Tamandua tetradactyla: one gene and its partner. The protein of the gene in region 2 interacts with the protein of the main gene of each other region in a biochemical or structural test. Links are inferred from orthologs where the notes say so. Each region holds a gene or a part of one and is shown on either strand. Other genes may lie near its edges.

Region 1 (7,619 bases), on a different chromosome or scaffold from region 2:
AGTAGACTGATAAACCATTTCAAGTGAACCTGCAATGAATGCATGTTTGTTTAGCTCTATCTTGCTGATCATGTGTTTATGGCATATGTATATAGCACCATTTACATAAGTATTTCTATTTTACATCTACTTTATTTCCACTCTTTAGTTTATATGATAAACCTAAATATTTTGTTTTAAAATAAGTACATGGTGCATTTCAAAATAAAATCTGATTTTGTTGTTATTACAGTATAGTGGCAAAAGGGAGCATGAAATATTTTTGTTTATCAGAAGGCACCCTGGACTCAAAAAGGTTAATAAACTGATAAAAGACAATGTTATCAAAAAAAAAAAAAAGGCAATGTATCTTCCCTCTGCAGCACAGTCTAGCTATCACTCTAACAGCCCAAGGACCCCCAATTTGCCTAACTCTATTTTGTACTACTTCATAAGGAGGTTTTCATGGAGAACTAAGAGTTATAAAAACTGTATTTATACAAGATTCACTTTGAGTGAAAACTAAATGTTTGAGAATTTCTTATCTGCCTAAATTAATTCCTGACATGGTCTCGGCAAAAGGCTAAAGTTGTCCTTTTCTCTTGCATATTTTACTTTATACCAATTTTATACTGAAAGTAGGGCATGCATCACAATTCCTGTTTTACAAATATGGAAACAAAGGCCCAGAAAATTAAGTGACTTCCCCAGGGCCTGCATCTTTGCCTTTGCGGTAAAGAACAGAATTTGTCTCCACAGGCCCAAGAGGTTTCAGACAGTGTTCCTAGTGCTGGAGACACAGCGGTAAACACACTGTCCCTGCTGCCATGGAGATTATGTTTTAGCAGGAAAGCCCAACGATAAATAAGTAAACAAGCGAATGTCAGGTAGTTTTAAGCTCCTTGAAGAGACATAAAGGGATAGCGACAAACCAGGAGAGAACACTTATTTTAGATAGAGTGATCAAGAAAGTTCCCTCTGAAGAAAGACAGAGCTGAAGAAATATGTGAATTGAATATATTTTTGACAAAAGGAACAAGTGCAAAGACCCTAATGAAAGAGCGTGCCTGACATACTTGAGAAACAGCAAGGAAGTGTGGCTGAAGCCTTAGGTGAGTCTTGCCACATACCATCCCCTGCTCTCCCTCTCCTGCTAAGGCTTCTTTTGTACCCTCTTTTTGTACCTCTAGATTAAGGAACCCGTCACATCTTTTGTTAACTTTTAAAGCAGCCCCTTTCACTTGCCCACTCACTCTTCCACCTTCTTTTAATAAGAGTCTGAAAACATCAGTTGGCTTTCAACGACCTTCCTTAACTCCTAACCAGGAAAGACAATATTATAAGCAAAACATAAAAATTCATGCCCAAGAGATTCAATAGCTTCCACATATTTTCCTTGAATCTTTTATAATAAATCCACTTAGTATGGCCAGAGAATAGGTATATTCTGGTTAATTGAGAGCCGCCACAAACATAGATTTCCCATTTCTTAAAAATATATGCAATTAAAAGTCCCTAACACCAACTTTGATGTAACATTTCTTCACTAACCCAGAACATACCTCAAAATCTTGCAGTGTGTCATTAGATACTGAATTTACTACAAAGCATTTTCCCTCATTTTGTTTCTGTCAGGAGACTGCTTGAGGGACTGACTGGTATTTTCATCATTGTTTTTATTTTGCTGCCAAAAAGTGCTAGGCCCTTGCCTAGAAATACACCCATGCGTATGTACTAAAAGAAATCAGACTGAACAAAGGATGCCTCACATTGAATATTTACTGTGGGTCAGATCCCAGTGCCAAGTATTTTTGCATGCAGTATGGCATTTAATCCATGCTGAGGTACTTAGTAGTATTACACCCATTTTATGGTTGAGAGAACTGAGAGATTAACTTGCCTGAGGTCACAAACCTAGCATCTGCCTAGCACAAGATTAGGTCTCAGATATATCTGTCTCTGGAGCCCTGGAGCAAAGATGAAGATACATCTGATTCAAAATGGGAATTCAGACTGAAACATGCCTAGGTAAAAGGCAAGGCTGAATCATAACAAGAGTGTTTTCCTTCTCTGCTCTTTACAACTGTGGTCACACCTAGCTTTTTTTTAAGGGTCCTATTTCTGAAATCCCCTGCCCTACACACAAATCTTCTAAAAGGAAGCAAATTAAGCAGATCCAGAGAGCAGTTTGACTCACAAACATCTGCTATCCCGACCTGATGAGTTGCAGTCTTCACGTAATGGATTCAGTTTCTTATCTTCCTCCTCTCCTTGAATCTGATGGTCTGTCTGAGATAAGGCCTCCAAATCCCTTTAAAAGTAGCCTCAGAAAGACCTTTCCTTCTCTCAGGAGCTGTGACCCCAAATCTAACCCAGGCACCATCCCAGGGCTCCACCTTGCTCATCTCTATGAGATACATGGTCTTTCTTAAAGTGAAGGTAAATTCCCGGTCACATTTTCCCACCCAAAAGGGCATTTTCTGTAGCCATCCCCCCAAATCCCTGGTGAGGCCTTTCTGGAGCAGGCGAATGAAATCCTGAGTTGTCTAGGCTGAAGTATGGTGTGCCATGGACCAGGGCTGGACCTGAGGAGGCCTTCAGGCCACAAACTCCCACAACCTGTGTTCTTGCCTGAGCCCGACCACCACAGCCCACCCACCACCTTTGCCCTCCGTAGGTCCCCACGGCTGCATACTCACAGCACACACAGGCAGTAGACTCCCGGGACGCTCTCACTGTCCCTTAGCAGATAGCTGCCGTCCAGACCTGTAGCAAGCAGGAGCTTCTCCCCGGTTTCCCGGCTAATTTTGCCGTGATACACGGTCACTGCATCCATGACCTGGTGGATTCGTGTGGGTCAAAACGTCTGATAAAAGAGATGCCACTGCAGCTATAGTCAGGCCGAGTCAGCCACCTGTCTCCCAGTTCAGCCAGATGTGCAAGAAACAGAGAAATGCACCCGAACAACAGGATGTTGTCAGTGTGCGTGAAAACCTTCTCACACTTCAACTAAAACCAACTCAGCAATTTAGCAGCTTGGTTATCGCCTCGGAGCTCGCTCCCTCTCCCCGTCCTCCAACTAAAAGGTTCATATGGAGAAGGGAAGAATGTTGGAAGATGATGGCCCTTTCAAGAAGATTTCAGCTGCACTGCTAACACAGATCCTTGCACACACACAGTGATGCTTGGCAATGTTGCTCATGCAGTTTTCCCAGGGGCCGGCAGGGATGATGCAACTTTAACTAGCTCCCCCAAAGGGATGGATGATAGAGGCAAGTTGTACAGGCCCTCATGTGGAGTGGAAACATACTGACAGAGATTGAACGAAAGGACCAAAAACAGTGACACCAAGCTATCAGTATTATACACGCAAGCTATCAGTATTATCAGTGCATACTGAATGTGGCCGTGAGGCTCCTAGGAATCAGACATGGTGGGTGAGCATTGGACTTTAAGGAAGCATTTTCCCCTCTTCACCCTCCTACTGCTACTGACCCTCTCCTATGCTTTTCCTCCAACTCCTCCCTTGTGTAGCTATCTTGAACAACCTTGAACCTGAGCAAATACCGATTTTTCCTATCTTGTCTAAAATCCAAAAATGCAGTTGGAGTACAAAAATCACAGCCTATGTCCCAGATTTATCCACTTGATGGGCTGTAGATGAGAGAATGAATTATCTAATTGTTGCATTGCCTTTATGTGGACATACATGTACTCTCTGGTGTATAAGAACCACTTTTCAGCATTTGGGGCATAAAGCCTGTTTTAAATCATTTCGAAGTGTTGAGGATTTTGCGGTAACTCTTATTCTCTGTTTTTTTTTCTAGAGAATATTTTTTTCTTAAAATGATGCTAAACTATCATTAATTTTTAAAAATATTTCAACTTTCTTTTCCTTATCTGAAATAAACATCGCTTCTATTTCAAAATATGCTGTTAAATAATATTTCCCAAAAGCTTTCTCCATTTTTAACAGAATAAGACTTTGCTAATGCCTAAAACTGAACAGACTTATACATTTACCTTTAGATTATGTAAAGTATTTTTTAAACTGAAATTTAAATAACTGAAGTTTTGTTGTCTGCTGTATCCCTTCCACAACTTCAGTGCCAATTCTTTGAAAACATGACAAGGCTCAGAGTTCAATAGGGAGAACAGTTTTCAAATCCTCACTTGTCCTACTAATGAATCAAATGCACAGACCTGCTTTATGCTAAAGCCAAATATTTGCTCTCTACCCATTACAATTAAGAACAATCTTCTAAGATTTAAGGTGGTAGCTGGTAGCAACTCAACTTCTTGATTGAAGAGTGCCCAGTCTGAATGATAATTCATATAGAATCTAGCAATCATAGTACTTAAAGTGTGAACAGAGCCTCCTGCAGTCATTTTCAACACCAAAAATAAATATATAGCATCCAAGGTTACATTTGGGGATGACTCCAGGGAATTGGATAATATGTCTCATCACCTTCCTACCTCACTTTTCTTCTTTTTTGCCAACTCTGCCTCACTCCTTCTTATATTTTGGATCAAGAAAGCAATTAATCTGATAAGTGAATGGATATTCCAATGTTAAGGACTTAAAAAGTTAGTCCTCCTTGGAGTCTTTGTATTTTGAGTGGGCAAATGATTAGCCCAGAGGAATCAATCGCATTAGTGGTATTTCAATCATGAAAGGAAAAGATAGGGAAAGGTACCCCTTCATATCAGTCCATATGGGCAACAGCCTACCTGTGAGGTGATCTGTGAGAACATTTGGTGTTACATAGGTAAAAAAACAAAACCTAACTTTTTATTCTCAGTACAACTCTAAACAAATCATCCACAAACTTAGGAACAGAGCAACCTGAATCCGACAGCAGAAGTATACCATGCATTCTTCTTTCCTTTGCTTGTTTTGTGTTGCTAAAATAGCACACCTATCAAAGCAGCGAGGTATGATGGCATTCAGCACAACTAAAGTTGTAAAAAACAGAACAGATAAATTATAAGGTAATAGTACAACGCTCACATCCAGTACCTCATTGTCATCTCAAAAGCAAACTGACAGCTGAGCCACCCCACTACTGCAGTGTTGATGGAAAATACTAACATCTTCACTCTAATGCTACACCAGTACTAAACCTGGCTTTAGCAAATTCAGATCTCTACACTGAGCTTGCATTGTAGAGAAAGGAAGAACTGAAATGACTTTCTTCCTCCCTCCAACGGAGATAACAAAAGAGAAAGAATTAGGAAGAATGAGCGCCCCCCCCCAAAAAAAAGAATATAAACCACTATAGGAGCAGAATGCAGTCCATGATTGCAGGACATTTTGTTCTTTGTTCATCACTACATCCCCAGTGGCCGGTACATTATAGATAATATTTATTGAATGAATGAAAAAATGATTAACATTCTCAAGAAAATACAGAAAAAATACTGAAATTCACTTTTGCACACACACATTAAAATTTGGTTCTACATGCTTCAGGGCCCACCCATGAAGGAGAAAAATGAATTGGAAAAACCATTAATTCAGTAACTATGATAGTCCAACTATACACCATGTTTTGTCACTAAATCACTTCCTCTCTCCAAGCCTCATTTTTCCCCACCTGTAAAATGCAGTTGAACCAGATGGCCCTTAAGGTCACTTTCAGCTTTAACATTTTATGCTTTAAATGAAAGTTTAGCATGCATTAGAGAGAAACAAAGGGGAAATGCACTGAGTTAATATTTGTGTGCAAGAAGCAAGAGCTATTTCCTTGTCTTACACAATAGGGTATAGATTTTTGTTCTTGTTTTAAAATAACCGAAGAAATTAGTCATGGTGTGGAGAAAGAGACCTGCACAATTTAAAGCAAACTACAACCTTTTAGAATACAGATATTGCATAAATCAAATATAATATAAAAGCATTGAATTCAGAATTGTCAACCAAGAATAAAAGTCTTCTTATCCAAACTTGTCATCTCCTGAGATCTCTGAGAAGTGACAGAATTTTGCACATGGATGCCTGGTCTGAGGTGCTAATTGTCTTCATTTCAAATGCCCTAGGCTATTCTCAAGCCCAGGTAGATTAAAGGGATGATGCCAAGGGTGGTCAATTTTATAGAGTGGTTCTGACATTTCAAAATCTTTTTCTCTAACCTTTCAAACCTAACTTTGTTCTTCAACTAACTCATTTCTAGGTGTGAATTCTACTGTGACAGTGTTATGATATTGTCACCTGTGGTGAGTTTATACATTCTTTCAGAATTTACTAAAAGTCACTTCCTTCACAAAAATGAGAGAAAATTTTAAAATGTCTTTAAAAAAAAGATCACTTCCTTTCAATAATGTCTGGCTTTACCTATGAGGCCATTTTTTAATGCTATTTTGTAAGTGAGAAACCAGAGATAGAGTTGTTGGTCTATGTTTATTTAAGCCTGCTTTAAATGTGTTTATTCTTTCAACCAACATTTTTGAGCATCAACTAAAAATATATACCTAGTAGAGAGAAGAAAAGAAAACACAGTGTCTGCTCTCAAGGAACTCAGTCTACTGAGGAAAACAGACCAGCAAACAGACAATTACAATTCCTTTAAGGGCTGTGATAGAGGAAAGGATGGTGCTCTGCCGCATAGTAGTGGGACAACTAATGACCTATATTCTAAACCTGCGCATCCTATTAGAAGCAGCAAGTTTTATATATTTCTGTCTACTATATACAATTCCTTTTACTTGTCCTAATTTTACCTCCTTCATGAACTCAAAGTGGGCTCCCTAATTCTAGCTGAAATTCTGCCTAATTTTGAGGTTTTATTCTTGGAGTAAAAGCAATAGTTAATATTTGTTAATTGCTTACAACATTCCAGGCATCCTGCTAAACACTTTGTATATATTATCTCCTGTATTTATATCTACAGTCCTATGAAGCAGATACCATTATTATCCCATGTTACCAACAAAGAAGCCAAAACTCAGAGAGGCTAAGTAACCTACTCAAGGTTGAACTACTTGTCTGTGTCAGACCCAGGATTTGAATACAGGCCAGCTGGCTACAGATCCTGTGCATTTCACCACCATCGTCTTCTGCCTTCCACCACTAATTCTGCTATCACTGCCCTGGATGGCTCAGACTTCAGTCTCCTATCTAAGAAGGATAATTCTGGCTTCTGCAATATTCTTACATTCAAGTATCAACTCTTCCCCTGCCCTGACTTACAGGAGACCTATGTCTACATGCCTTATGAGATCAGCTATACGGCTTTTGCTTGGGTCTTTTTACCTCTTTTGGAAGGATATTACAGAGTGAAAGTCTGTTCTCTCAGGCTTACCATCTGGAATCTGAATCATCAGCTTATCCTTGCTAAGTCACAGAACACTGATTGGTTTGTTTTTAAAAGATTTGGGCATTCTCTATCCTAGACTAATTTGGTTATGCAGTTTATAAGTCAAGAGTCTCCAAAGAAACACAATCGAAAGGATATATCTATGAAACTATTATTAGATTTACTATAGGAATTGGCTCAGGTGGTCATGGGGATTGGCAAGCCCAAGTTCCAAAGGGCAAGCTGCAATTTGGAAACTCTAATGTAAGTTTTGATGAATTTCCCAGGAGAAGCTGGCTGGCTGAAGTAGAGAGAGAATTCTTCTTTCTGACTGTTGAAACC
Region 2 (7,455 bases):
TCAATAAATATTCATGGAGCATCTACTTGTGCCTGGCACTGTCTTAGATTCTGAGGGTACAGCCGTGAACAAAACAGAAAACGGTTTGCCCTTAGGATCTTATATTTTGGTGAGGTAAAGAGGGGACTAGAAGACAGAAAATAAAATAAATGCACAGACTATGAAGTGTGTAAGGTGGACATAAACACCATGGAGAAAAATTCAGCAGAGAAGGATATAAAGAGTTTGGACACTGTGTGGGCCATGGTGGCTCAGCAGGCAGAGTTCTTGCCTGCCACGCCGGAGACTCGCCTTCGATTCCCGGTGCTTGCCCATGCAAAAAAATCAGTTTGGGCATTGACATTTTTCTGGGGAAGGCACCGCTGAGAAGGTGGTATCTGAGCAAAAAAACCCTGAGGGAGAAAGGGAACAAGTCACGTGACTACTAAGGGCACCACCACCACCACCCACTTCAGGGTAGAGGAAGCTGGGAATGTAAAGTGGGAAGGAGGAGACTGCTGGGGGAGCAGCAGGCCAGGGTGGCTGAAACGCAGTAAGCAAGAGGCAAGGGCGAAAGAAGAGGTGCTGGGGGTGCAGGGGGGGTCACTGGAGGCCAGATCACACAGGCACCTGTAAAGCATGTGATTCTGCCTCTGCATGAAACGAGAAGGCTTTGGAAGGCTTTTGCAAAGCTAAAGAGTTGCGTGAGTATCTTACACATATATTTTATGCATATTGCATATTGCATTGCACATATTGCATTCTTGAATAAACAATTTTTTTTAAGTTTCATGGTTACCACACATCTCCCGATGGGATGTACAGTGAAAGACACCGATCATTTTATGGTATGGTTGCCATAAACACATAAGTCAAATCATCATGAGCAAACATCAGACAAACCCAGATTGAGGGACCCTTCACAATACAGCTTGGCTTGTACTCTTCAAATAAAAATAAAAATAAAAAAGACAAAGAAAAGTTGAGGAACTGCTGCAGGTCAAAGATGGCAAAAGACACATGACCAACGGAATGTAATACATGATCCTGTTTGGATCTTTAATCAGGAAAACAGTTGCCATAAAGCACATTATTGGGGTAACTGGTAATGTTTGAATTTGGATTGTATATCTGTATCAATGTTAAACCTCTGAAATTTGATCACTGTACTGTAGTTATATAAGACAATGTACTTATTTGTAGGAGAGACATGCTGAAATATTTAGGAGTAAAGAGTCAATATGTCTACAATTTACTCTCAAATGGTTCAGCAGAAGTAATTATTATAATCGTTTGTACATATACATATATACATGTGGAGAGAAAGACAAAGCAAATGTGCTAAATACAAGAATTCTTTGTATCATTCTTGCCATTCGAAATTACTTCAAACCAAAAGGTTTTAAAAATTAAAATGAACAAATAAATAGCTGCTATCAGGCCAGCCCCACAGACACTGGGTGTGCCAAGAGATGGGAGAAGTTCAGAAGACGCACAGTCCATCCATCCTGTCCCTGAGGAATCCCTTGCCAGCCCCGGCTGCAACCAGCCTTGCAGAGTCATGTCCAGAGATGGTGCCGAGGCCCTGGCTGTGGGGACGGAGGGAGCATCTCCCCCTGTCACACAGGCCTGGACCTGAGTTCCCTTCAACGCTTCCATCAGCCTCACCCGCAAAACCAGCACCAAATCCCGCCAATCCTGCTTCGACTCTCTGAGATGCTTTCCAGGCCACTTAGACCAGGTCCCAACCCAGCTCTGCAGCCTGGACTCCTGGACCTGGGTCCTGCCAGCTTGCCCACATGAGCCCCAGGCTCCAGTGCTTCCTCCCTGCTCCCTCATTATCATCACTTTGCCTACAGTCCTTACAATGCCAGGCTCGATGTTTGCCTACACTGTCTCTTCCTGGAGGGCATAAGTGTGCTCATGGGCCCTGGAATTAAACTGAGTAGCCTAGGATGCAATTGTTAATCAATATCAGGCTTCTAACAGGCCCTGAACAAACCCAAACTTATGCTTCAGCTTCCTCCTTTTGTACCTCCTCTCACCCCGCCCCTTCCCACAATGTCCCCCCAAAAACCCACTAACCTAAAATGCATGATCCAAGACCCAGAACACCCTAAACTCCAGGTTGGGAAAAAGTGGGGGAGCAGCCCTCAGCTGGGATCCTCCCAAGTAAATATTAGATGGCTCAATGCCCAGCCTACAGCTTCAGATTTGCTGTGGAGCATCCTTACATTGTTCCCTTCTCCCCTTCTTCCAAGCCAACATTTCCCTAACAATCCTCAGACTCCTCTGGCCCCTGGGCAGCTGGAGGAGCTGAGCCGATGAGACACCAGGTCATTCTGGTCTCTGGCCAATCCTGGCCATTCTTCCCACTCTCCCCTCTTAATGCTCAGCCTTCCTGTACCAGGGATCAGTCTGTCCTCTGAGCTCCAGAATCACCCAACTTCCTCACAGAAACCCAAGCCCAGGGGCCACTTCTCCTCCACACTGCTAATCATAACACAATCAGAGAGTGAGATCTTTTTTGTCCTCACCGGCCACAAGGAGGTCAACAGAAGATGGTAGAATGGAATCTCCTTGCTGAGGCTGCCTGGAAGGCTGATGGCCATCCAGGTGCCCCTCTCAAGGATCTCCCAACCCGCTGCCAGCTTGTCCTGTCTGAATCGGACTGTCCAGAGCTGCCAGGATGACTGTGCAATCAGAGGCTCTGGTTTTCTGATCTCCCTGAGGGCACAGCCCCTAGCCCCTGCCAGCCCCCACCACATGCCAGGTTGGGCCTACTTACCTTGACCCCAATGTCCAGTGAAGAAAAGGAAGAGGGTGAAAACTTGCCCCAACATCCCCACAGGACAGAGGGGTCGGGCTGGGTCCTCTCTGCCTCTGCAGTGCAAGGCTAATCAGCAAGGATGCAACAGGCAACAGAAGTGCCTCGTGACTGTCCAGCCACAGTTTCCTCAACTCAAAGCTGTTCTCGTCTGCTGTGAGCTGACAAGGCCACTGAGAAAGCCCCACTAGCTGGACCTGCTCTCACAGTTCCCACAAGCTGCACTGTGTAGTTTGCCTCAAGTGGGCGGGTGCTCGGAGTTCACTGTGACTCACAAAACCAGCTTCAAAATCTTGCCCCTTGCTCTGCCCCAGCCCTGATGCCTTGCTCATAATTTGCTCCATCCTATTGGCAATATGGAGACCTGCATTGGGACCAAATGGCCGTTATCCCAGACTGCCCCATTTCAGCAGACACTGCAGAGGTGGAGGAGAGAGGGATCGGAGGGGGTGGGTGGTGAGCTGAGAAGCAGAGCCCTGGACAAGCAGGTAAATATGTTGAGGGAGAGAAGCAATAGCTGGGGAGACATAGAAAGAGATCTAATGATGGGGGGGACACGAGAAGAAATAAGAGGCCTGAGGAGTCCATGTAAGTTGATATCAAACTGTAAATACCGTACATGCAAAGATTTTTCATAAGAATTTGTTTTTGCTCCAAGTTTCCCGTCTATATTTCTATATACTCTCCCTTCTTCTTTTCCTACTTTCTCACAGTCATTCCCTCTTCCTTTTCTTGCCTTCTCTCACATAGATAGGACGTGGACCCATTTTTCACTGCAGTACCCATCCCCCCTCCACAAGGACCAGGCTATTTCTCTTCCTCCTCCCGCCCCCACAGGCAGGTAAAGGCTCTGCACCCATCCCACCTCCCTCAGAGCCCTTTTGCTTTGAGGCCAGGGGTTCAGGCCTCCTACTTTGTTCTACTTCCCACTTGGCAGCAAATACTTTCATTTCCCTTCAGGTCTGCCTTTCTCTCTTTCCATTCTCTGGTCCATTTCCAGTCACCTGTCTGAAGCTGGATAGGAGGGCAGTGGACAGAGAGGCTCAGCTACCACAGAGGCAGCAGAGGGGCTCTGGACAGAGCACCAGATCTAGAGTTAAAACACTTGGACTCAAGTACCAGTTCAACAACTTATGACCTGTGCGATCCTGACCAAGTCACTTTCTAAGCCTATGGGGTCGATAAGACCTGTTCCCTCCTCCTCAGGAGGTAGCTCTCAGTGTCACATTTAAAACTATGTCTGGTACATGCAACAACATGGATGAAACCTTGAAGACATCAGTTGAGTGAAATAAACCAGACGCAAAAGGACAACTATTGTATGCGCTCACTTACATAAAATAATTAAAACATGCAAATTCATAGAATCATAAATTAGAGCACAGGTTACCAGAATACAGGCTGGAGTAGGAGTGGGGAATGGGGAATTAATGCTTAATAGGTAGAGATATATTGTTCTGGATGATGGGAAAGTTTTGATAATGGATGGTGGTGATAGTACAACATTGTGAATGAAATTACCACCCCTGAATTGGAAATGGTTAAAAAGGGACATTTTAGGTTGTATATATGTTACATATTTTTAAAACTGTTGGAGAATATGCATGTAAAAAATTCTGGACACAGCTAAGATTTTTTTTAATATTATTACTAACACAGCCCTTGCACAATTTCTCCAGCTGGTCCAATGGTTAATCTCTCTCTTTTGTCACCCAGGGGACCCTCAGAGTTGACTTGGCCATGCCCTTGACCTTGAGAAATAGTACACAAAACATGATGCAACAAGGGAGCACAAACTTCTTCACATGACAGACCAGGGAAACATCTAGCTGTTGGAAGCCACTAATGAACAACATGAATTAGGAATCCACTTCACTGATCTGGACCCTAACATTGGCTCCATTCTCCCCGCCATCTTCCAGAAACAGAACTGGAAGAAGCCATACCATTTGTGGCATCTGCTTTGTGGTCCTAAACGTACTCTGCCACATAAGAACTAGTATTTTTTCTGTACACTGCCCTGCCTGACTCTAAGCTCTAACACAAAGTCTGTGCTCTCTTCAGCTTAGTGTTTCCAGGGCCTAGTCCAGTGCCAGGTACTTAATAGTTGGTCAATAAGTGTTTGAGTGCTTAGTGAATGAATGAATTCTCTAGAAAAGTCATTTCCATTCTCCCTGAGATATAGTGATAAGGTAAGCTACCATGGTCTGTGCCCTGATGAAGTTTATATCTTCCCTTGCAGGATCTCTGTACAGAGCCTTTAAGTGCAATTCAGCAACTTTACATACAGATCCAAGACATAAATTCAGAGACTCCTGTGGACCCATTTCTCATGCACATTTCCCACATCTCTATAAATCTGGAACAGGGAACTCATACAGAAGCCTCTTGAAGTTTCTTGGGCTCCCTTTAGTCAATGACTGGAGTCTGAAGTGTCCAAGATTTCCTTCCCAAGGCTTGGCCCACTCCTGGGAGGACATAGATAAAGGAGTTAGAATAATCTAGACAGCTGGGTTAATGCAAGGACCTACAAAAATGAAGGTAGTAGAAGCTTGCTCTTATGCCCAAGGAAGCTAGAAAGAGTCAACTAAAAAGACACAGTGCACGCCTTAAAGACTTAAACACCTTCTATCCTTCAATGGGCAACATGGCTCAGTAAATAAACTAGATCCCAGAACCTTGGAATTTGACAATGACTGAACCTAATCTATAACTCAAAAGGACTATATAGATGAAAGAAGGAAGCTCAGAAGTTGTGTTGGGAAGGAAGCCTGAGGATTGGCTATCAAAGGCTCCTCACCTCTCCCACCCCTTGCCCCTTTCTTCTTCGTCTGTCCCCACCCCATCACTGGCACAGAATTTAGAGATTAAGATAGATGCAGCAGTTTCTCATCTATGGTGGGAAACAAGTTTGAGCCCCACCCAAGTCACCACACAGACACTTCAAAGTGCAAACTACCCTAAATATATTTCTCTGTGAGATCATATCACAGATTACAGAATAGATATGAACTTGGATGTTGCTCAGACGAGCGACATAGGTTCACGAGTGGGAGTTGGGAACAATACTCCACCTATGGATGCAGAAGTTAGACCCAGATTTCCTCAAAGTGGGGGCCACCTCTTCCTATTACCCAAAGCCACTGACCCATCTGGTTCGCAGCTCTCAGGACTAAATAACAAGAATCAAACAGTTCTGTTATTGGGCAACTACATCTAATGTCACAGGATGTGGTCAGAAGAGGCCCAAGAAAAACCAAGGAGATTTGTAACACAGATGTAGGACAGTGACCAGCATTTTCACCCGTTGCTGGACTGATAGAGTTCAAAGAATAGAAAAGACATTCTCCAAAAAGAGCTCAGGAGCTGAGTTTGGCAACCCGCCAAACATATGGCACATTCCACATCCTTGCAATCCTAGCAGAGGCCTCAAACCTCTCCTCCCCAAAAAGGGAGGAACAGAAGCCCGGGAGAGCTACATCAACCTGAAAACTTCTCAGCTTCATCAGGGCTGCGCTAGGGTCACCCAGGAAGACGCCTTGCCCTTGCAGGTCATGCCACAGTTTCAGAAGCAGTGACAGCATCTGTCAGGAGCAGGGCCATGGAGTGGGGACACTGCCCAGCAGGCTGTAGCACCCAACTCAGCCACTCAGCCGCTTTGTCTTCTCCTTCCATTTGGACCTGTAGGAGGAAGAGACTGTGCTGGTCACTTTAGTTCAGTTTGGTCACGTGACTATAATGAACCAAGCCCTTCACCTGTGGAGTGCTTGACTGCTTTAAAGAGTGGGGCAGTGAGTCATGCCCAAGCCTTGGAATCTACAAGACCAGGATTCAATCCCAGATTTAGCACTTCTTTAGCTGCATGACCTTGAGCAACTGCTCTGTCTCAATTTCCTCATCTATAAAAGTCTGGATAATAATGCCTACCTCATAGGACTGTTTGGAGGAACAACAATAGCCTATATAAAGTGCCTGGAAGTACATGATATTCAATGAAGAGAGCTATTGTTGTTATTTCATTGTCACAACAACCCCATGAGGTTGAGTGGGAAGAGATTAACAATTCCATTTTGCAGACATGGCAACTAAGGATCAGAGAGGAGAAGGAAGAGGGTAAAGTAAAAAGAGGAAGGAGAGAGAGAAGAAGGAGAAAATGATGATTCAAATAATACTGCTAATAAGTAAAATACATTAACTTGCCTAAAGTCATCTAGCTTATTAGTGGTAGATCTGGAACTGGAACCCAGGCCCTGTGATCCTTACTCCATGGCATGTCTCCCTCTGTCCTGGCATCTTCAAAAACAGCTACTGAGCCCAAGCTGTGCTCACAATACTCCCCAGTTATTGCAAAAGTCATCTAATAATCGGTGATTACATGTGTTGCACACTGAGGGGTTTATAGCAGTGTGCCTTTCACGACTTCTCTCCTTTAGCCCACATTTTAAAAACTATGTGAGTATATTATTGGCCACATTTTACAAATGAAGAAACTGAGGCTTCAGAAGTTTGCACAATGGTGAGTGGTGGAGCTAGGACCACGGGCAGTAATGACTGTCACAGAAAGGAGGCATCAGCATGAGCTTGAGTCTTAGGACTTAAGCAACACCTTGAAGGATGTACAGAGCTTCAAAGCCTCAGAGTCTCAGAGC

The links. The genes of interacting proteins can lie anywhere in the genome.
Region 1: the proteins of CD244 (region 2) and SH2D1A interact in a biophysical measurement, tested with the Homo sapiens proteins (2 studies listed by IntAct). The link is inferred for Tamandua tetradactyla from reciprocal best matches to the Homo sapiens genes CD244 and SH2D1A.

What each region holds. Positions count from the first base shown.
Region 1 is NC_135353.1:40,834,908-40,842,526, forward strand, and holds the start of SH2D1A (SH2 domain-containing protein 1A), read right to left. Parts: upstream 3,001-7,619; 5' UTR 2,816-3,000; coding exon 2,679-2,815; intron 1-2,678.
Region 2 is NC_135330.1:14,062,979-14,070,433, forward strand, and holds the start of CD244 (natural killer cell receptor 2B4), read right to left. Parts: upstream 3,021-7,455; 5' UTR 2,823-3,020; coding exon 2,768-2,822; intron 1-2,767. UniProt on the Homo sapiens protein: Heterophilic receptor of the signaling lymphocytic activation molecule (SLAM) family; its ligand is CD48.